2 linked regions of the Caenorhabditis elegans genome follow. The protein of the gene in region 2 interacts with the protein of the main gene of each other region in a pairwise test. Each region holds a gene or a part of one and is shown on either strand. Other genes may lie near its edges.

Region 1 (11,083 bases), on a different chromosome or scaffold from region 2:
CATTTCGATACAATCCTCCTTGACATTAGAAAAGATCACATCGATTTGATATTGGACGGAAATTGGATAAGATACAGTGCTGGCTACGAAGAATCAGAAAATTCATGTTTTTCAATACCATTTTGGAAAGCTCTGTGTATTGATGCAGGAAAACGAGGTTCAACGGTAACTTACAAAGGGCATAAAAAACAAATTAAAGGAGATAATTTTATGGAAACAGCGTTCAAGGATTTGAAGACATCATTGAAGCATGTATCAAAATTGGAAATTTATTACTGTATACCAAATAGATACGACGTTTTTGCATCTTTCATTGACTTTTTGAAATCAAAAAAATTTATTCACTCTGAGATGATAGTTTTTCACAAATTCCCATTCGATGACGTCATTTCTATCCTTCCATATTTCGATGCACAAACACTGGAGACGATTGAGTTGTGCCGTTTTGGCTCACTGGATCAATTTGAACGGATAATTTATTTGGATCAGTGGAGAAATGCGAAGACCTTCAAATTTGAAAATTCCTATTTTTGCAGTAAGTTACTGGTTCATTTGTTTCATTTTCAATGTTTTTATATCAACGAAATGCTCGACTTTACAACACAAGTTGCAGTTAAAATTAGAGATGTATGTTTTACATGTTATATTTCGTTTAATTATTTATTGGCTTTACAGGATCTCATGAGAAGAAGTACATTTCAATGTTGTCAGATTTATTTCGAAAAATCTGACTCAATGGAGCTTGCAAAAGTATTCAAACCGGACTATACTGGCGGAATTGAATTCAACATCGAATTTTCTGATGATAACTTAAATTTCTTGGTTACTTGTTCACGTTTGCATTTTGATAGTTTTATTTTCTCTGTGAAAAGATTATGAAACTTCAAAAATTTTGTCTCCGAGTTCGGACTTGTGTGAAGACACAAATTTCAACTAAAATAACAGTCGAATTAATTTTATTAGGTTGCTGGTTATTTTTAATCTTGAAAAAAAACATTTAGAGAAAAAAAGTAAAGAAGTATGGAGGTAAAACTCCCCGAGCTTACAACAAACGAAGAAATAGCAAGGAATAACAACAGGTGCTCTCCAGTGTTTGTTCTCAGTGTTTGTCAGTTGGTGTGGTTGCAAGTAATTTCGAGAAGATCTTTGGTCAAAATTTGTGAGATTTCAAATTGAGTGCTACTTCTTGCATTAGAGTTAGGAATATATTTTGAAATCGTGTTCTTTTTTGTAGTGAAAATTGAGTTTTCACAGCACAACTGAAACTAATAGTTTAATGCTCGTATGTACAAGATCTGATTGTGAAAATTGTCAACCTGGAGTATGCTTTTCAACTATTTGTTTGCTACCAGATGTTTCACATGATTTTTTACTTTACAGGGTGGACCATAATTATGCGCACTCGTTTCTAGCCTATTTACTGTAGTTTTTTACGCGACTGCCACGTCATGTCTCAAATTTTTTAATTTATTCTGGTTGCCGGGATGATTATCTTCCATTTGACATAAAATTTAATATGTTTCTCAACAAGATGCACTCTCCACAACCACGACAATCTGAAGCACCCCTCTACCAAAGTGGTGTTTTGGCGGAGAGCCTGTACCACCGGCCAATATTCCAAAAAATTTTGATTTTCAGCATTAATATGAAGTTTAAGTAGCTGTGAACCAGTTACGTATGTTTTGAATCAGCAAAAGTGGTTATGCGCCAACACTGATGGATATAATGATGGATAATAGTGTGTGTTTTAAAGACCGTCCCATTAGTTCGCATCACTTTTTTCTGTTCCACGAGACACACCGATCCGCAAAATCATCTATGAGCAAATTCGTAAGAAAATATGAAACCTTGGGTAAAAATAATAACTAAAAACACAAATATGATTTTCTTAGCATGTCAGTGCTTCCGCGCACAAGCTTCGTTTAGGCCTTGACTGAATTTCACAGTACTCGATACTCAATCAGCTGCCACTGTCACCTAACAATATCAATCTTTTAGATTTTTTGTGTGAAGCATCTCTGAATCAAGAGCATTCTTTGAACTTTAAATTTTACTTGATAACTAATGAGTCCTCCGAGAAAAACATGAAAAACCCTGAAGCGTGCCTACTTGTCCGCCATCGTTGGTGCGTTTCCGAAACTTGTGAAGGCCTGTAGCAATGCGGACGGTGATATTTTCGAATTCAAAAATGGTATCTTATTTAGTTTTTCTCGGAGAACAAAACCTATATGATTATTTGTTTAATGTGTTTTTTGTTTTGGTTTTATGAAGCTTCAAAGTAGTGCGCATAATTATGGCCCACCCTGTATTAAAAAACGGAACTTTTCCAAACAAATCTGAAGCATCTGTTTTAAAATTGAATCCGTGACTACTATTTTGCCTAATGACAGTATTTAAATTTCACAAAAAAGATCTATGAGAAGATATGTATATTTTCAAATCAGTTACCAATCATCTTTTCTTAAATCTATTTCGAACTTTTCTTTTATTCTAGTTCCACTCCAAATCTTAAAGAATCGGCAATTCTTTATCAATCATCCAGACAACAATATAATACTACCCTCTACAAGTATCTGGGTAGACATAATACAAATTCACAAGGAGAAGCGAGTTGAAATATAACAAGAGTGGATAAAGGGTTAATGAACAAGAATAACATACAATATAGTCTACAAGTAATAGATATAAATTGGTACAATCATTGATCTCTGGGTGGGTCAAAAATAGATTCCAGCCAATCCCGTTTTACATTCAAGTATTTGATAGGATCCGATTTCCGAAGATGTGCAAGTAAACACGCATCAGCAATTGCGATGATATTCTTCTGTCCGATACACTCCTTCCACAACATGTAGAGCATATTGGTGGAGTCTGTGGAGCTGCTCGTATCGTCCAGCCGAGCCTGAACAAACGTGGCAGCAATCTCTTGCATAACTGCAAGCTGGTGAGGATTTCCTAAGCAGGCTTCAGCAAAACGGAGGAACCATTTTCTGAACATATTTCGCACAGGTGGAACTCTTGGATCTGAAAAAATTAAAGTTTTCAAGATTAAATATGTCTTATCTTTCTTACCATCGGCATAAGGACCATCCAATCTTGGAATTGTCTCGGTGCAAAAATAATTCAAGTACAGCCATCTTTCAGGTGACATCCCGTGAATATTCAAATTCACTTTCAGGAGTTGTGTCTTTTCTTTGTAGTTAGTATCAATGTAGTCGTTAAAGTCTTGCTGAGCTTCCAGGAATGCTGTCAAGCTTTCAGAAATGCGAGGTGGTGGCGAGGTTGAAGCTGGATCTTGAGTGCAATCTTGAGAAGGATATTCGATCCGATCGGCTGATTCACAAGGAAGTGGAGCCGGATCACTGAAAGAAATTTACTGTACTCAGAAAATAATTTTACAGGATTTGAATCAAGTTTTGAGCTCAATCTTTTCAGCTTGTACATTATTTTCCATATGCTTGATCGATAGCGGATTTATTAACTTGGACCTTACCTGGTGATTTCGAAGGGCCATTTCCCAGCTTGATTGTATACTTCAGCTGCACGAATTTCACAATTGATTCCACTTCTCTTCGGAGTTGGGCAACCATTACAATCCGTGGAAACTGGAATTCCGGTAATGTAAGAGCTGGAAAAGAAAATATGGAAATGTTGTTCGTTTTTTGTAAAGTCATACCTTTCCAGCGCCACAACCTTTGGAGTCAACTTTTGAGCAATTCGCTTTCCTGAAGCTGTTTCTTTTCCAGAAACTGTGACGGAATACATTGGTGATTTTGTAGCTTTAGAATCAACCACGCCAAGTGACTTGTTCAACTTTGAAGACCTGTAAAAAATATAATGAAATAAGAAGCTCCAAGTGTAAAACTAACTTGCTGGATGATGTCAGACATCTTTCTCCGATCAAAGCCTTTGGAGTTGGGATGATTGACGAGGAAGGTGTTCTCTTTACATCCACATTGTTCCGATTGATCTGATCCTTGCTGAAATTTAAATTTTTACTAAAGATTTTACTATTTCACTACATACCTTGAGGAAGCACGATTTGCAGATTTCGGCATCTCAGGGTCCCCATGAAGTAAACGTCTCATTTCCTCAACGTTGGCATCAAAAGTTCCTGTCCACTTTCTTCTTGAGATCTTTGGAGGAGAACTCGGCTGTGGACTTGGCGTGGGTTCCTCGTCTTCTTCAACAGTTTCCAGTGTCACATCAAGACTGGCCAGACGGGAGGCACTACGAGAACTTCCACGGCGCTTGATCGACAGTGAAGTTTTCTTGGGAAGACTCACTGGTAGGGTTTGGTTGTTAGCATCCACAAAACTGGAGTCAAAGTCTTCACCAATTGAGCAATTTAGATCACTTGCTGGTAATGTCCGATTCAAATTGCTGCATTCTCCATGAGAGCTGGAAGGCAAGTGAATCTGTTGTCCGATCTTCATGCTGACAATTTCCAATAACTGTTCAATGGAGAGTTCAGTGCCGTCCTTGCTGAATACATTGGATACCAGGTTACGTTTAGCCGCTTCTTCAGAAGATTTGCATTTTTCAGTCAATTGTTTACTGCCTGCATTCTGCTTTGAATAAGTCGATTGTTGAAGTTTCTTAGTGACTGATCGAGATCTCCGACCACGGGCAGCATCCATGGAATCGTCTATGAACACATCGTCAGTTAATTCATCGTCATTTGTGTTGAAGTAAGTACGATCCTGGAAGTTGCTGCTACCACGTGATTTTTTTCTGTCGTTTCTTGATTTCTGTTGTTGATTTTTCATCGATGAGGTTTCATGTGTAGGAAATCCAGAGAAGCTCTGGTTCAAATTCCGCGACTTAATAGCATCGTGCTTTTGGACAAGACTAGAATTGATAACCTCCTTTCCAGATGCATTTTTATTGTCCTTATGGCCTTTTTTAAAAGCGTGTCCATGAACTCCAGCTTGAGCGTTGAAGCTTTTATTTCCAAGACATTGCTGGTGAACATTGGTTTGTCGCAGTTTCTTAGAATTATTTTCTTGCTTCTGGAACCCAACGGGAACGGAACTCACACTGAATGACTTATTCCCAGCGTGACCATAATTGTTCGAACCATCCGAGAAGCTTAGGCCATGTTGTCCATTCTGACGACTTCTACTACGTCTTGTGTTTGATTGCTGAACGTCGTCCTGATCTGTGGATACTGGGAATCTTCGTTCATACCAGCTGGAGCTATTGCGTGTTTGCAAGTTGCGGCGGAAGTCTGCAGAGAAGACGGGGGCCGTAGGAGGAATACTGTTAAAGGCGTTGCTGCCGTTTCCTTGAGCTGCATGCATCGACTGATTGAATACTCGACCATGTCGAGTCATCGAGTGATTCAGCTGTTGGCCATTCATGAATGTATTCCCGTTGAATGATACGGATCCGTGATGAGATATCCCCGATTTTGCACCATATTCACGGCTTGTTGACTGAGCACTGTCTTGTTTTGCGATCGGATTGAACAATTCGTCAAGAGTGATTTGGTGTTCCATGTTGTTGGATGCACTTTCCTGATTGCTACGACTACTTGAGCGGCGACCTGAATTTACAAATTGAATGAAAAATTGATGCAAAAAACTCTCACCTCCTCTTTTTCTTCTCGAGTTTGGCAGACCGCTTGGGTAAGGTTTTGAGGAACTCATACCTGCAAAAATCAAAACTTAATGAAATATTGAAATAAATGAAATTTAAAAAAATACAACGAAAAAGAAAGACAGAGATGAAAAAATGCAAACCGGTGGGACCACGCAACAAGAATGAACACTTGAGTTAGGGAGATTGAGAGAGTGTGAGAGGTAGAGAAAGAGCGCGCGGAAATAGTGTGTGGCGAGACGGACAGGGGCGATGCGTGCGCGCGGTGAAAAAATAGTTCAAATGCGGCAGGGAATCAACAAAACAACACACACCGTTTGCATGGTATCGATCAGTTTTCAAGACTATCCAAGACTATGGAGTTTTGAGGAACAATTGGATTGATAGTTAATTCTCTAAAATATTGGATAATCACTGAATAATAAATGAGAAGAATAAATTTATAAAAAGAAACAGGATAATAGGCAGTAAAGGAGATGTTAATTAGAAAACCTGTAAGCGAAAAATCAAAACTAAAATAATTTTTTATCTCAAACTTTTTAAAAGAAACGGCGGAACATAATCCTGAATTCCTGAAAACGAGATGTAAAGGGTCGTTAAAATAGCTCCAAAAACGGATTTGTGCAGAGTTTTGAAATTTTTTAAAATTATTTTAATATAGGAATACTAAGTACCTGGAAAGTAATAAAAACTGCTTTATATAGAACATTGAAATCTTTTGTTTTTTAACATAAATTTTAAAAAATGTTTGGATATCCCAAACTAATAAGGATTCTTAACATTATTAATTCATAAAAATATGAAAAAATGTCTATTCAAAGGATTTTTTTTGATCGAAGACTTCTAAAAAGTTACAAAAACTGAGAATCTTCAAGTAGAAATTTGGTATTCCTTGGGACTTCAGATTATTCATATTTTATTTTTCAAATTATTCTCGATGGTTTTTTAATTTAAAAAACAACTCATCGACATTGATGCTTTCAAACAGGATAGATCTAATGTTACTAATTTCCTGCTACTATAGCTACTGCTACATTGTGCACAATGTATGATGTCACACACTTGGAGGATTTATAACCACTTTCTATGTATCGATTATACCATTTAGACGCTCGCCTGCTCCGTTAGTCTGCTCAGTGTTTTTTTTTTTCGATTACATATTTGAGTTACCATTTGGTATGAGCTCCTTTATTTCACAACTCTCCTCATTTATTTGTCTGAGATTTTTTAAACGTCGAGGTATCAGGACCCCGTCAAACAAGGCAAGAACATATGTATTTTACAGTTTTTCGTTTAATTTTATTGATTTTTTAGATTCAACCCTTTCACCTACTTGGTTTACCGTATCCTGCATTTCGGAATATTATACATCAATTGAAGTTGACTGAAGTGTGAGTTGAAGTAGGTTTTAATTATCTAAATGTCTATTGTTTTCAGAATAGAACTATCAAAAAATTCTGGTGAAACCAGATGTAGATTTAAAAAAAATTAATCGAAAAATCTACAAACTTCTTATCGACAACCGTGTTTTCCATGTTGATCTACCACCATTCCGAAATCCTAGTGATTTATTTTCAAGCAAAGTGATTGCTATAGAGACTTCAGAAGACATGTATTATCCTTTTAAGTCTGGTAAACTACTGACTTTAAGATATCCAAACCTTTTTTCAATCAGCATTACCAACTTTTGCATCTCTACGTTTTGGTAATTTTTTGATTTTTCTGCTAGTTTTTTCTCAAACATGTGTGATTTGTTTAGTCTGAATGACCTTAAACATTTGAAAACTTTCAAAAAGTTTTTACCTAACCATGTTTTAACATTTCACGGTAGTTCAAAAATTTTAGACCGGAGGGGTTGCTCAGTCGGTAGTGATGACCAGGCAGTGTACCTGACTCTCAGTTCCGCAGTGCATAGCACTTAAGTCGAGATCGTTTTTTAATCTTCAATTAATATAAACCCCAAGTAAATAAAACTCTACTGAAACAATTCTCATGCATCGCCATATAAAACTGTAATTTTTTCAGTGACTATTCGAAATTTAAAAAATTCAATACAATGAGCTACGACCAACCGAATCAGTTGATCGAAATTTTGAATTCTATTGACCAATTATTTTTTTGTTGAAAACCTCGATTTACTGATCAGCCATGAGAAGTTATTCGGCGATTATCGGCCAACACTAAGTCATCCAATGTTCAATAAATGCAAATGTGTGGAAATTTTTGGTGGTCCAAATGAAAATTTATCAACCAGTAATATGAACGAGTTGACGACAATGATTGAGTTGAAACAAAAACTTAACATTCAATGCTTTTTCGAAAATAAAGAGTTGGTAAGGAAGTTGCAAAAAATCCCAATTACTTATAATCATATTTCATTTCAGATCTACAATGTTCCTGAGATAGAATTTTACCACGCCAAAAATATCACACTACAAGATTTAAGATCAATGAATTGTGAAGTGATCAGATTATGTGTACATTCAATCAAAGAATTGGATCTAAACAACATAGTATTGTATTGGTTAAATGGAAAATTGCCGAACCTCCGAAGACTACGGTTGCACAGCAGAATGAGTCCCATTATGTATGAAAAAATCCTGAAAGGTATTAAAAACTATACATGGCATCCGAAACGTCGACCTAAAATCTATTGGTAAGTTATTTGATTTTTTTATTGTGCTTAATTTTTTACTACCACAAAATGGCGAACTTAGGGATTTCAGTCACACATAATTTGGCCTTTTTTCAAACATTTAATCCGGCTTGTAATTCCTTTAGTATTTCACAAAAATACTCCATGTAAAATTTCTGACATCTGGAAAAAAAGCTTTGTGATTTTTTAAAACAAATTTTTAAAGCAATTTTGTTTTCAATAGTCCATTTTCCATCTTTTAATACTGAATTGAAAAAGGTTTTGCAAAGCAATGGGATATGAAAATATATCCAGACTACTACCTAATAAATACCACACGTCGTATTCAATTTTCAGCAATGAAATCGAACGATTAGACTGTGAAAGTGGAAGAGATATCGTGAGCAACAACGGAACAGTAGCAACACTCCTGCTGTTCAATCGCTCTTTTGATTTTATTGTTTGGAAAAACTGAAGTATATATAAAAACAATATCTGTGTCGTAGATTTGACCTAAAATCTTTTTCATTTCGGTGATGTTAATTATAGCTACTACACAATTACCTAACAAGCTTAACGCCTCAAAATAGTACATCAAAATGACATCCAAAATTTGTAGCAATCACAGTCCCCCTCTCCCTCATATCCTGCCCCACTCCCCTCCTCAAACTCCGTTTTTAATGTACCAATTTTTTTTAAACCTTGATGAAAATTTTTTGTTTTAATACTAAAAATTGTTAAATAAATTATGGATGGAAAAAATTAACTTTTTGACAATTTTTAGCTATTGTACAATCGTTCCGAGACACACATGATTCAGAAAAAGCAGTTTTAACTTACCGCCCATTTTTTAAAAATCATTTTGTTTAATAATTTTCTGTGGCATTATTCATAGAACTTTTGTAGATTCTGCATATTTTTCAAACTTTCACTGAAGTCTTTTTGAAACATGATCAATCCGGATGGCCAATTGGAAAGGTCACTCTACTCGTATATATACAAAACTTACAAAACGCACCAGAAACTCAACAGAAAAACATCTAATGAGATTGAAATGATAAACTCGCGACGTGAATAGTCAACTTTAACAGAATTTATTAAAAAAGTTGCAAACTCTTCTTTTCAAACATTTATTTATGATTAATTCACTTTCTCTGGTTCAATAGTTACAGTGTTTCTGCGCGAAGCATTACACGCCACGCCTGGTGGCCTTTGACCTTTCGATACTTAATTGCTAATTGGTCGCCGTGTTAAAATGGGCCTGTGGTGTAGTGGTTAACACACTGGTCTTGTGAGTCGGATTTCATCTCCCGGCTTCAAGTTCAAAGCCAGAGACGTCGGTTCGAATCCTTCCGGGTCCAATTTTTGTTTTGTTTTTTTGTTTTGAAAAATAAACTTCTTAATACAAGCATTTATAACTATTTGGTGTATTGGTCAAGCTGTGTTCTGCACATAAGACCTGGGTTCGATCCCCCCAGAGTGCGATATTTTTTATTGTTTACTTGATGCCATTTTTCTTGATTTTCTTGATAGTCTTGATGATTTTTAAAAAGTTTTCGATAAGTTTTCAGCATATTCATGCTCTCATATTATGCTCAGAAGACTTGTGGTTCAAACTCATTTTAGTGCAAAACTATAATTTGCTAAATTCAGCTGCAATTTGAAATTTTGCCAATTATTCCACGTCGCAGTGGTCCAAAACTGATTTTTATTTGAAAGTTCTTAAAGTTTGCATTATTTTTTCCTTTTATCAAACGCGTCGTTTGAGATACACTTCTGGGTGCTTCGAACACAAAACTTACCGTGTTGCACCTAGGGGAGGCGAGACCTATGTATGTCGCATGTCAAAAATCATCAAGACTATTAAAAATGGCACCAAGTAAACAATAAAAAATATCGCACTCTGGGGGGATCGAACCCAGGTCTTATGTGCAGAACACAGCTTAACCAATACACCAAATAGTTCTAAATGCTTGTATTAAGAAGTTTATTTTTCAAAACAAAAAAAAACAAAACAAAAATTGGACCCGGAAGGATTCGAACCGACGTCTCTGGCTTTGAACTTGAAGCCGGGAGATGAAATCCGACTCACAAGACCAGTGTGTTAACCACTACACCACAGGCCCATTTTAACACCGCGACCAATAAGCAATTAAGTATCGAAAGGTCAAAGCTCATCAGGGTGGCGCATAATGCGTCTGCGCCGAATCGCGGTAACTTTCGAACCTAAATTCTTCTAACCATAATATGTGCGCATAAAAATGCTGAAAACTCATCGAAAATTGAGAAAAAGCCATAATGACCATGGAACAATTGGCAAAATTCCAAATTGCAGCTGAATTTAGCAAATTATAGTTTTTCACTAAAATGAGCTTGAATCACAAGTCTTCTGAGCATGATAGGAAAACATGAAACTGCTGAAAACTCATCGAAAACTTTTTAAAAATCATCAAGGCGTGAATTAATCATAAATAAGTGTTTGAAAAGAAAAGTTTGCAACTTTTTTAATAAATTCTGTTAAAGTTGACTATTCACGTCGCGAGTTTATCATTTCAATCTCATTAGATGTTTTTCTGTTGAGTTTCTAGTGCGTTTTGTAAGTTTTGTATATATACGAGTAGAGTGACCTTTCCAATTGGCCATCCGGATTGATCATGTTTCAAAAAGACTTCAGTGAAAGTTTGAAAAATATGCAGAATCTACAAAAGTATTATGAATAATGCCACAGAAAATTATTAAACAAAATGATTTTTTAAAAATGGGCGGTAAGTTAAAATCACTGGTGTTGGTATGTCGCCATGGCAACGCGCCAGCGGCGTAGAATAGTGCAAGTTGTGCATTAAAAGA
Region 2 (11,083 bases):
TGCCGGTCGTGGCGAGACCCATCCATCACTTTTACGCGCGAATTCAAATTCAAATTACCAAGCATATCTAATTTAGCTAATTCTCGTTTTTTTAACTTAAAATTTAATCGCATTTATGTAATAGATAAAATAAAAATTTTTGATAAATTGATAAAAAGTTTATTATGACGACAAACTGCAATAAATTAAAGCCAAATGGAAGGCAAAATGAGTACTTGGGAGCAATGATTCACACGAAAATGCAGGGAATAATAGTCAAAAAGGCGGTATTCGGAAGCGGGAACCCGTATAGTAATGGTTCGTTGAAGAAAGAAAAATAAAATAAATAAAATACAGGCACAGGAAGTATGTGAGAAGGGATCGTAGCTGTACATATTGGGATCGCAGATAAAATTATTGAGCATCAGCCTCGTAGCATTGTTGGTAGGCTGTACGGACGAGATTATATGGGAAACAGGTTTCAAGAACATCCATCGACAGCCAACGGTTTTTCCGAACCATCTGTTCAAGGATAATGTAGAGAGTTGTGTGGGAACGAAGAACGTCGTCGGATATTTGTCGACTGTTATCACGTTCATGAATAGTTCGTAGAATACCCGAGGACGCGAGCTGAAAATTTTTCTAGGTGAGAATATGTGTTAATAATGATAGAGCTAACCGCCAAGAACTCCTTCATCCTCGACTGGATATCATTTTGCTCGTGGAGATGGAAAAGAGCTGATCCGATAGTGTTAATCGCCATTGGAACACAGTGACTATTGTTCAAGCTGGCTGAAATTGTTTATTTTTAATTTTTGCAAAAAGCTGTAAAAGTATGTACCTTGAATGCTAGGCTTGTAAGACGAAAGATCCGACATTCCAATTCGTGGAATACAGATAGCGACGGCAACCATCAATAGACAACTATTAACATAGTGTTCTTGAGGGTGAATATTCGGATTTTGAGCACGAACCGCATTCACCAACGACATATCAACTGGTCCTGTGACTCCCATCGCAGCTGACATTTCTCCAATTTTAACTTTATCAACATCGTCCAAATTGTGATAAAGCATATCAAATGATGCTTGAAGAAATGGCAATTTAGATTCGACGATATGACGAAGAGCATCGTGGAGAGCATCACGAAACAGACAAATCTGTCCGATAATAATAGTTCTTTGCAGAATTGCATCAGCTGCGCATGTTGCGTTCGGAGTTTTCTTGTCCTTTGGTTCGACGCTCAAAAGATTTAAAACATCCTTCATCTTTTCAGCATTATCGAAATTAGATCTAGCAATCTGTAGAGCATCTTTGTATGTTGCAACAATCTTGCTCATCTCCATAATTTGACTGGCCACGTGCCAAATCAGCCGTTCAGTCATCAACTTTACTCCATAAGGTCCGATAATTTGAACCAATGCTCTCAATTCTTGAGGATCTGAATAATGATCGGGCATGAACGAGAGTTGTTCCTGTCCTGATGATAACATTGTTCGTAGATGCTCACTCCAAACCATATGACCAGATGAAGCACGACGGAGCAAAACTTCGAGATACCATTTCGTGTAGAGTGCTGCGATTGTGTCTTTATTCTTGGAATCAACGAGTTGAGTTTGTTGTAGAAGAGTTGTTTGCATTGTATTACTGATATCCACAGAAACTGAAATTCCATTTATGAGAATATTTATAGATTATTTTAAAAACCACTTACTTGCTGTATCAAGATTTTGAAGAACCGTCATGTAGGCTTGTAGCGCAAGGAGCATTTCACTTGGTCTTTTTGGATTACTTGCATGTGGTTGACCTTCCCAGAACATTCCATGAAGCAATTCTACAAATTTAGTTTCAAGGGACTGCGCTAGGTACGTCCTCGGTGCAAATGTGTGATCAGCAACGTAAATTTGACGATGAGCTCCGAGAGCTGCAGAGATTTCAACTGAAAAGTGGGAAATTTGTGATATAAAATCTAATTTAAAAAACGTTTTAAAACTTACGAAGAGTTGTTTGCAACTTATCAGGCATTGTTAATGCTTGACGATCAACTCGATAACTTTCTTCTCCAGCAATGAAATAATCTCGAGCGGCTGCTGCGGCCGCCGCTGCAGCTTTTCCAGATCCTTTCTGTTGAACAACTTGAGCAACAACTCTTACAGCCACGGCGCTCGGTGTCATTTGATAAGCTAATCCGAATTCATGTTCAGCCACTTTTTCCAGGATATATGACAATTGTTTGCACGTCTCTTCAATTACAGAATTGCATTGAGCCAAGGCTTTTTCAGTGATAAATGCTTTTTCTTCAGGACACATGTCATGGAGGGCGCTTGTGAAATGCGCGGCAAGACGTGCAAAACTGAGCACATATCGAGCTTGAGCAGGTAGCTGGAGACAGTTGAGCCAATGTTTTTCAGCGAGTTTTGGATAGAAGCAGTATAATGATAAATCACTTGTTTCCCTTAGCATCTCGTCTTGCAAATCGATCATTTTCAGATGAAAAACTGAAGTATTCATGTATATTGCGAGTTTTTTATGTCTTGAAAGTTGGAAATGGCTCCGAGCAGCAGATGTCCAAGCTTGAAATCTAAACCAGTCTAGTCGAAGAGCACGAAGATCCGTATCAGAGTTGATATTTCCTATTTCGTTGGCAAAATCGGTCAAAAGAACCGCTTCTTCCTGGGTGAGGCCATTTGCTTGGTTAATCTCTTCAGAAACAACAATTGAATCATAGCTAGACACGTACTGAAAATAAAAAAGATTTAAAATAGATAAATTTAAAGTTTTAACAAAACCTGTAGATAGTATCTTTGAATCACTGCATAATATTTCGTAACGAGATCTCTTAATTCCAGCATATAAAATAGCAGTTCTGGAAGTTGCCTGTCAACAAGCTCCTCGACCATTCTGCTGCCTTTTTTGCTGATAGCAGGAACTTCAACTTGATGCCGTAGAAGCCATATGACCTCATCTCTTCCTGCTCCAAGAGCCATCCAGACATAGAGAATTTTCGGGCCAAGTAGTCCGGGCTGATCTCGTAGTAAAAGTGACAGCTCTCGAAGAGAACTTCTAAGGAAGCGGCGACGGTCTGCGTGGACGGCAACTCTGAAATACAAATTATTAGAAAACGCTTTGTTTATCATATTTTTTAACTTACGCAGTAACAGATGCATGATTGAACGCATCTTTAACATCTTGTAACCGTTTGCTTTTTTCTTTGGAAGATTCTAAAAACGCTTGAATCTCTTGATGAACAATAAATGTTTCGTCTCGGAAAACGCGAAGACACAGATTCATTTGAAGTGCCAGCTGCCACATGTGCCTAATGTTGTCATCGTTAAGAAGAGTTGAATGGCATACTGTTCCGCAGACTGAAAATATTACAATTTTAATAAACATTTTAATACTAATTTGTATATTAACTTACACACAATCCATCGATCAATGACGTCGAGTGATAGATATTCGCATGCAATCTGAAACGATTTACATAAATAATTTTCCATTAAATAAAAACTTGCTCACAGTTTCTGTTTGAGCAGCATATAAAATTTGTGCTGGAGCAGCGGTCAACGAGAAAACATTTGATGTTCTCCATGAATCTGCTGTCTTGTTTCTGCGCTGATATGTGTGTGTAACAGAAGAAAGAGCTGAATAAATTAGCCTGTTCAGTGGTCCGAGATCTTCATGAAGCTTTTTTAACGGATTTTCATAATCAAGAATCATTTGTCCTAATCTTGGAAATGATGCTTCACTTTGTCCGTGTTGTAGATCATATGCCGCATTAAAAAGTCCAAGAACAGCTTTCCGGTCTTCAATTCTTGATAAAAGAATCATCATTGTGACGAGATGTACAACAAGATTCAAATAACTCGTTGTCAGGTCGTAATTGAGCGTCTAAAAAATAAAATTTTAGCTTAAACATTATACGAACGATATAAATATTTAAAATCAATAATATACTCACCACATCCAGCTGACATTGACATGATTCCATAGTTGTCAAAACTTGCATAATGTGATCTTTTAAATCAAGAATATCAGCAAATGTGTAGTAATATAGCGATAAAGATTTTGTAATTTCCGTGGACTTTTCTTGTACATATTCGAACGTCGACTGAAATTAATTTCGGCATGAGAAATCAACAATTTGAACTACTCACTGAATTCGATCTGCAATCAACAACAGGAAACTTTCTAACTATATGTTTGATTGCACCTTCCATCTTCTTGTCGCTAAGAAATTGTGGTTTCACTTTTGAATCTGAAATCTTCAGCATTTTATAACAACAGAAATTTTCAAAGACTACTCACCGCCGCTTGATTTCTTAATATTGTATATCCGTGTCATCATTCCAGCAGCACGATCATTCAGTATCACAAGTTTTTCAGCAATTTTCACCTGTCTGGCATCTTTGTAAGCCATTTTGCTGAAAATTGGAGAGAAAATTGAAGGGGAAATGAGTCACAAATTGGATTACAGTTTAAAGGCGCATTCAATTAAACAAGAGGTGTCTCTCACCACGGCTGTGCAAGCATGCTCTATTGCGCTCTTTTGTTGGCGGCAGTTTGAACGAGAGAGGGAGACCGTTATAAAAAATGTAGACCACGAAAAATCTAGACCACGAAAATATTTAAAAAAGCTATTTTCAGACAGATTTTCAGGTTTTTACAAAAGAAGTTTATTTAATGGGGAATAAACTTCTTGTTTTATTGCAATTTGTCACCGCAGAATATGATCTAGATCACCGTGAATGGCACTGACGAGGTTCAAGAACTGGAAAAACGAACAAAAAAAAATATTTGGAATGTTTGGAAAAAAAAAACATAAAATCAAACTGAAGAACTATTCACCAAATATGTTGCTTTTATGAACTTTCAAGCTTTTTGTGAACTTTTGTGTCGACTTTTCTTAAAAATCATATTTTTCCAAATTATTTCCCCACTTTATGTATAGTGATTGTTTAGTGAGAAGAACAAAAATTCCTTGTAAATCCCTAAATACAGACAGACAGTTTCACATCCAATTACGAAATATTTCATTTGATATTTCCAAATATTTCCAATTTATATCTCTTCGTCCCTCCGTGGCAGCTTAGTTCATCAAACCTTTCCACCGTCGATTCGAATCGGCTTTCTTATCAGGTCAAATGCTATAGATAGCTGGTCTCTCTCCCTCTCTCTCTCTCTATCTCTCTCTCTCTGATAGTCCGAAGAAATTCTCACATCGTTTACAATAGCGAACAACACCGAAATGGCTGTAGATGGAGGAGAAGAAGAAGAAGCATGAGACCAGCAAGGATCGGGAAACTGTGAAAGAGAGAAACGGGTTTGACGAAAGGCCGGACGGATGGTTAGCCTCTCTTTCTCTCCCTCTTTCCCGGGAGGCCTTCCTTTCATTCAAATGTTTCCATCGCTTTTCGTTGAATACTTCCACTCACTTTTGTTACTTCTACACATTTTTCTTCATTTCATATCTTTTTATGAAACTTTTTGGATTCAAAGTTTTCACTTGTTCGTTTCATTTAACTTGCAAAAAAAACAACTATCTTCATCTTAAATCTGTCAGAAAAGGTGCGAAGTCATCGCATTCATACAGCTTCTCCATCTTCTACAGCTCGCCTCATTCAATCTATTCACTGTGTCAAACGTGTTTCTAGTTTCCATATGTCTATACAACTTTTATCTCTTCCGTTCTCTGTAATACAATTATTTTCTGTTCTTTTGAATCGTTTTACACACATTGCGTAATACCGATCGAACAGTTTCTATCGGGTCCTGGCACGCGCGGAATTTTTCAACTACCGTACCTCTTTGATTGTTTCGTTAGTTGAAATGTTTCGATCGTGACAAGACTCAAGTTGGTGATTTTAAATTAAAATTCAAAGTTTTTGATTTAAGTATTTAATAGCATAAACTTTGACAATGCTGCACTGATTTTCCAAATTAGGCTCCGCCCATATCTTGGCTCTTTTGAAATTTTACATTGCATTTTCTCGTACTTTACTTCTACATAGTCTACGAACACAGAATAGATACCTAAAATAAACTCAAAAATTCCATACTTTTTGAAACTGTGCATGGCAAGCTTTTGACCTAAAAGCTTATATCTCATAGTCAGACATTTCAGATGCTATCCAGGATTCGTCAACTAATAAGATATTCATCTTAAAAGTTTCCAATTTTCTTAGTTCAAGACTTTTTGATAACTCTAAAGTCTTACTAGATATAAATATAATTCTAAAACTTTTGCAATTTTCTATATTTCGTTACAGCCCAAATATTCTCAAAACATAATTATTCCAAATGTTGACTTGTAATTTGATCTAAACAAAAGAACTTATTCAAATCCAAACATCAGTTTTTCGTGTTTCTTTGGCAAATAAATTTGCAAAACCCGGAAAGGGAAAGCAGTTCAGTTCCCACCTGGAACAGGTCTTTCATTGAAAGACCTGACTGAACATGTCTTTGAAATTCATAAACAAAATGATTTGGTGATAAAATAATGATGGCAAGCGGAAGGAGAAGATTCGAATGTGGTGGTGTTAATGCCTACAGGCATAGGTTTAGGCGGCCTGCGCCTATAGGTCTATAGGCGCACAGGCAGGCACCGATTATGTGTGTTGCAAATGTCCTCGTTTCTCGTTGTTGTGTCGAAGCTTTTAAATAAAATATTATACAGAAAAATAGATAAATACTTGTTCTTTTAAAAAAATTAAATTTCTTTTGTTTGAAAATTTCGATAAAATTGCTTAAAATTTCCTCAAAGTCGAAATGGTAGCATTACAACTTTGAGTAAGTTTTTGAGAAGAATCTTGAAACATTCAAATATAGGAATACAAAATTATTTTCAGAAAACACACATATTTTTCTGTATGTTATGTAAGTTTCCGCTTTGAAACTTTAAGAAAATAATTGGAAAAGCGGGAAGTGTGTCTTTTCTGGCAGACATCGCTTTGATTATAAATGGATCTTTGTTTTCTTAATATTAAATTTTGCAGCTTTATACTTTCACTTTCACCACCTTCTTATCATTTATTGTAAATGCCATATGCTATGCTTATACTCTAAAATCATCTTCCTTCTCTAAACAATCCAGTTTTTGTTTCATCTCATTTTCTTCTAATCATATCGAAAGTATCATTCGATCTATTTTTCTATTCTCCAACTGCTTCGAATCCTTTCCTTCTGAAAGGGAGACGCTTTTCCCATTGACCTACTAATTGTCTAAGCTCTCCTCAATCCACGTACTGTTTCATCCCTACGACGGAACGGTCGTTTGAGAATTCAAAAGTTATGAGAGGTTTATCCGCCTCATTTCATCGTTTTGTACTTTCTCGTAACTGGTTTCAAATGAGCTGGAAATAGGGGAACATTTATGGCAGTTGATTCAATATATGGTACCGAATGGTAGGCAAGCACTTGCCCACTTGCCTACCGCCTATTTCCGCATTTTGGCAAGAAATCTGGCTATGAGAGCACAGTGTAGATATACAAAATCACTCAGTACAATGCAACTGTTGAAAGTCCAATTTAAAACAATTGTCGTGGGCACTTAGGCAGCAGATACGCCTGTAGGCAGGCAGGAGGCAGGCATGATTCTCCTACGTAGATTAAGGACAACTAGAGAAAAAGTCGAAAGCACGCGGTAAATGTGAAAAAGATAAACAAGTTAGATAAGTGTTGCCAATTAAAACAAGGTTTTCTCAACTTTTCAAGTCAGCTGAACCACTTTGAAAATCGATTTGAAGACAAAGCGACAATTGGGTGAGTTAACTCATGAGTTTCTCATTTTTCTGAATCTCCGAAGGTTTCAGATGAACTCGTGCCTATATATTTATGATTTGGGTAAAAATTCGATGGCTAGTATTTCCATAATGCAGACCTTCTAATTTCAACCAGTGTTCTCACTTTTTTAAAAATAGCATCCCCACGTTCCATTTTTGTACTAATCAATACACTTAAAAAACAATGAGCTATCAAAGTAGATCAGAAAGTTCAACTCTTGCAGTAGGCACCAACCTTTGATGTAGATCTTTATTTCATTTTAAATTCTCATTCCATTCAACCTATTCAACTAAATCTCCTGCCAATTTTCTTCCGTTCTGCTCTCAATCCGTCACCAAATTTCCTTTCTCTTTCTTATTCCACACAGTTTTCTTTCTTGATTTCATTCTCAATTCTTTTAAAAAGTGGAGTGATGAGATTCTTTTGACACCTTGCCTCTTTTCACTTTTCACCCTACTGCCCTCATATGCAAATCGGTGTTGGTCCTTGTTTAATTCGGTCAGTTTTTAGGTGCGCTTAATCGTTTTGCAGTGTTAATACAGTAGGCAGACGTGCCTGCCTCACACCTATTTTTTGCATTCTTGATTAAATTTTACATGCAAAAAATTTGTTTAAAAAATCATACTTTATTTCACAAAATTCAGTGAAAATTTATTTTGTTTAGAAAATTGACCAAAAGTTTTTTTCTCCAAAAATAAAATCACTGAATTTTGAATATTTAACCAAACAGGTTTTAAGGTAGGCTTGCCTTGAAGACAGACATTTTTGCGACTACTTTGACAGTTTTCAAATTGACATTTCAGACAATTTTCATGGTTTTCAGATATAACGTTTTTTAAATCTTATCATTTGCTTATCAGTAGGGGGTTCTCCCAAGGTTATCAGCGAACATTATTGATAATCATGTTTTTTTTTTGATGATTAAAGTGAACTTTTCGATTACCTGATCATCACCGTATCTTAAACAGTTTCAAGTGCCTGTTTGTGTCACTGTTCAGGTGTCCAAATATTGCATATACGTCTGCCGTCTACAATTTTTTAATGTTTCGTTTTCACGCCAAGCTTGTCATGTGTAACGACTGCGCAACACGATCCCCCAGCCATCACTAGACGCTTATCCATTCGTGTAAACTCCACACGAAAGAAGAATATGTTGGCAAGACGATTTTTTTTTTCATAACACAATAATATTCTATGAACTTTTTTATTTTAGAATGCAATTAAGATTGTATTCCTGCAAATTTAATTTCAGTATCATAACTTTAAACTTTGAATAGGAGGCAGTGTAACAATATACTTGCACCAACTGCCCTAGTTTGACAACTTTTATCTTGGTTCTCTTTGGTTGTATTAAAGAATTTTCAACTAACAAAATACGTGTAAAATATTTTTCTATATTTTGGCTCTTGAACATTTTTTGATAAATGTACACACAGCCCAGATATAAGCCGTCAAAGTACTGCCAAAATTTAGCAATCGATCCTTAAACGGCGTTTTTCGGCAGAGAAGGACGGGGCTGTGAGCTTTTTCGCTGATTCTTTTTGCATTTAGCATTCGAAATATTCATCAATGTCCCATTTATATAGCTTTAAATAAAAGTTGAACCACGTCGTACGCTTATAAACTCCGCCAGCCTCTGCGGAACAAAAAAGACCAAGGATCGATTGATAAATTTCGAGAGTAGTGAAGGTGCATATCTAATAGAAAAATACGGTATTCTTGGCAGCATACTGTTATATTACGCTTGAAAGTTTATGAGTAGACAAAAACTGAATCTTAAATCTAATTGAGATTCAGAGCCTAAACCAGGCAGTCCGTTCGGTTAAGGCGTGATTGCGGGCGCCTTCACCTGCCTCCTCACCAGCCTCACCTGCCCCTCTCGCCTCATATGTAATATATGATTTGCTATACATTTATATGTTCTTATCACTCCGAACAGAATATTAAATAGTAATTATTATTTTCTTTTGAATCAAAATGCTCAATTAAAAACGTGATGATCTTTGTTGAATTCCCGCGTAGTACATATATTCTGATTCGTGTCTGTATCCATTTCCAACGATTACATCCCTCATATTTTCATTCTCTTTCTCATCAGTCATCTTTCTTTATATGCCCACCACCATATCTTTCTACTTCTTCGTTTTCTTTTCCATCAGCTAGAAGCAGTCTGCTGCCCTCCCCTTCATACCGGTCCGATTCATGACTTCTCATTGCCTCACGACGCCTTTTTTGTTCTGTTTTTGTTTCTTTCCTCTTTTCTCACCGTCATCTTTTCTTTTTTTTTCTTGATTCGAGCGCCCGCCACCACCATATACCAATTCACCCATTTCCGAATTCCTTGTTTTCATGATCAAATCTTTCAGAAACATCTTCCCACCACCTTCACCTATCATTTGAACCAAAAATCTATTGTTTCGACGGGTTGTCATGACGGATCGAGCTAACTGCTCAACTTCAACATCAAACTGGCGGAAACCGAAACCTCTTGCCACAGATGTTCTTGAGAAACCGGCCAGGTAAGGGGAGACTACAAGGCTATTTCGTACTTTGGAATTCGGAAAGATAAACGATCAAACAGCAGAAGCTTGCCGAATCTAGCGAATTTCGATTATCAAATTTTGCAAGTCAATTTCAGCGTAGATTCCAGCTTTTTAGAGCAAAATTAAACTATCGTCTATAGAAAGTCACAAAAATCAAATTGCATGTAATTATTTTTTCTGGGGACACGTAAAGCTCTTTGAACTCCAAACGGAACTTTGACTCTGAAAAGTTCAAAATTTAAATTTACTAATTTTTGAACAACTTCTCTAGTTAATTTTTGAAAAAAAACTGCGGTAAGTAATACCTAAAAAGCTTTGAATAATTTTGATTGAAAAAACTTGGCATTATATTTTTGCAGTTGACAGATTTTTCCGGTTTTTTAACCTTTTTAGGCAGGAATCAAATATTAAAAAAAAATTTCTGTTCATTTTTGGGATTATTTTATTGAATTTTAAAGTTTTAATTTAAAGCATATTTTAGAAGAGTTATGTTTCAACTGAATCTATGCTCAGGCGGCCCCACCACGAAACGTCTAAAATTACAGTAGTCTTTGCGGTGGGACCCAATTTTATTGGTAAAATAGGTCATGCTTTTACTCAAATTGAAGCTCTCGTTAGGCTGAAAAAAAAACGGTTTTTTTTTTCAAAAATTGAACAATATTTTCAGCTTAATCAAAAATAGTTTGTCTACAGAACTATAGCATATAGATTCAACCTATATTTTACCAGTTGCCAGTTTTTTGATAGAACCAAATGCAACCTAGTTATCAATTTTCTAA

Evidence for each region. The genes of interacting proteins can lie anywhere in the genome.
Region 1: the proteins of gex-3 (region 2) and meg-3 interact in a two-hybrid assay, tested with the Caenorhabditis elegans proteins (one large-scale study listed by BioGRID).

The regions. Positions count from the first base shown.
Region 1 is NC_003284.9:1,983,955-1,995,037, forward strand, and holds meg-3 (uncharacterized protein), read right to left. Parts: upstream 5,654-11,083; 5' UTR 5,652-5,653; coding exon 5,594-5,651; intron 5,549-5,593; coding exon 4,027-5,548; intron 3,981-4,026; coding exon 3,870-3,980; intron 3,824-3,869; coding exon 3,677-3,823; intron 3,629-3,676; coding exon 3,494-3,628; intron 3,363-3,493; coding exon 3,073-3,362; intron 3,025-3,072; coding exon 2,699-3,024; 3' UTR 2,515-2,698; downstream 1-2,514. Other genes in the region: Y40A1A.2 (F-box domain-containing protein), read left to right, coding at 6,780-6,863, 6,916-6,992, 7,039-7,093.
Region 2 is NC_003282.8:12,397,751-12,408,833, reverse strand, and holds gex-3 (Membrane-associated protein gex-3), read right to left. Parts: upstream 4,404-11,083; 5' UTR 4,400-4,403; coding exon 4,288-4,399; intron 4,238-4,287; coding exon 4,137-4,237; intron 4,091-4,136; coding exon 3,941-4,090; intron 3,871-3,940; coding exon 3,499-3,870; intron 3,450-3,498; coding exon 3,401-3,449; intron 3,345-3,400; coding exon 3,131-3,344; intron 3,079-3,130; coding exon 2,769-3,078; intron 2,719-2,768; coding exon 1,977-2,718; intron 1,919-1,976; coding exon 1,694-1,918; intron 1,643-1,693; coding exon 821-1,642; intron 772-820; coding exon 659-771; intron 610-658; coding exon 394-609; 3' UTR 144-393; downstream 1-143. Other genes in the region: acs-20 (long-chain-fatty-acid--CoA ligase), read left to right, coding at 10,192-10,280. UniProt on the Caenorhabditis elegans protein: Rac effector required for tissue morphogenesis, cell migrations and egg laying. May play a role in egg laying and in yolk protein clatherin-mediated endocytosis by oocytes during oogenesis.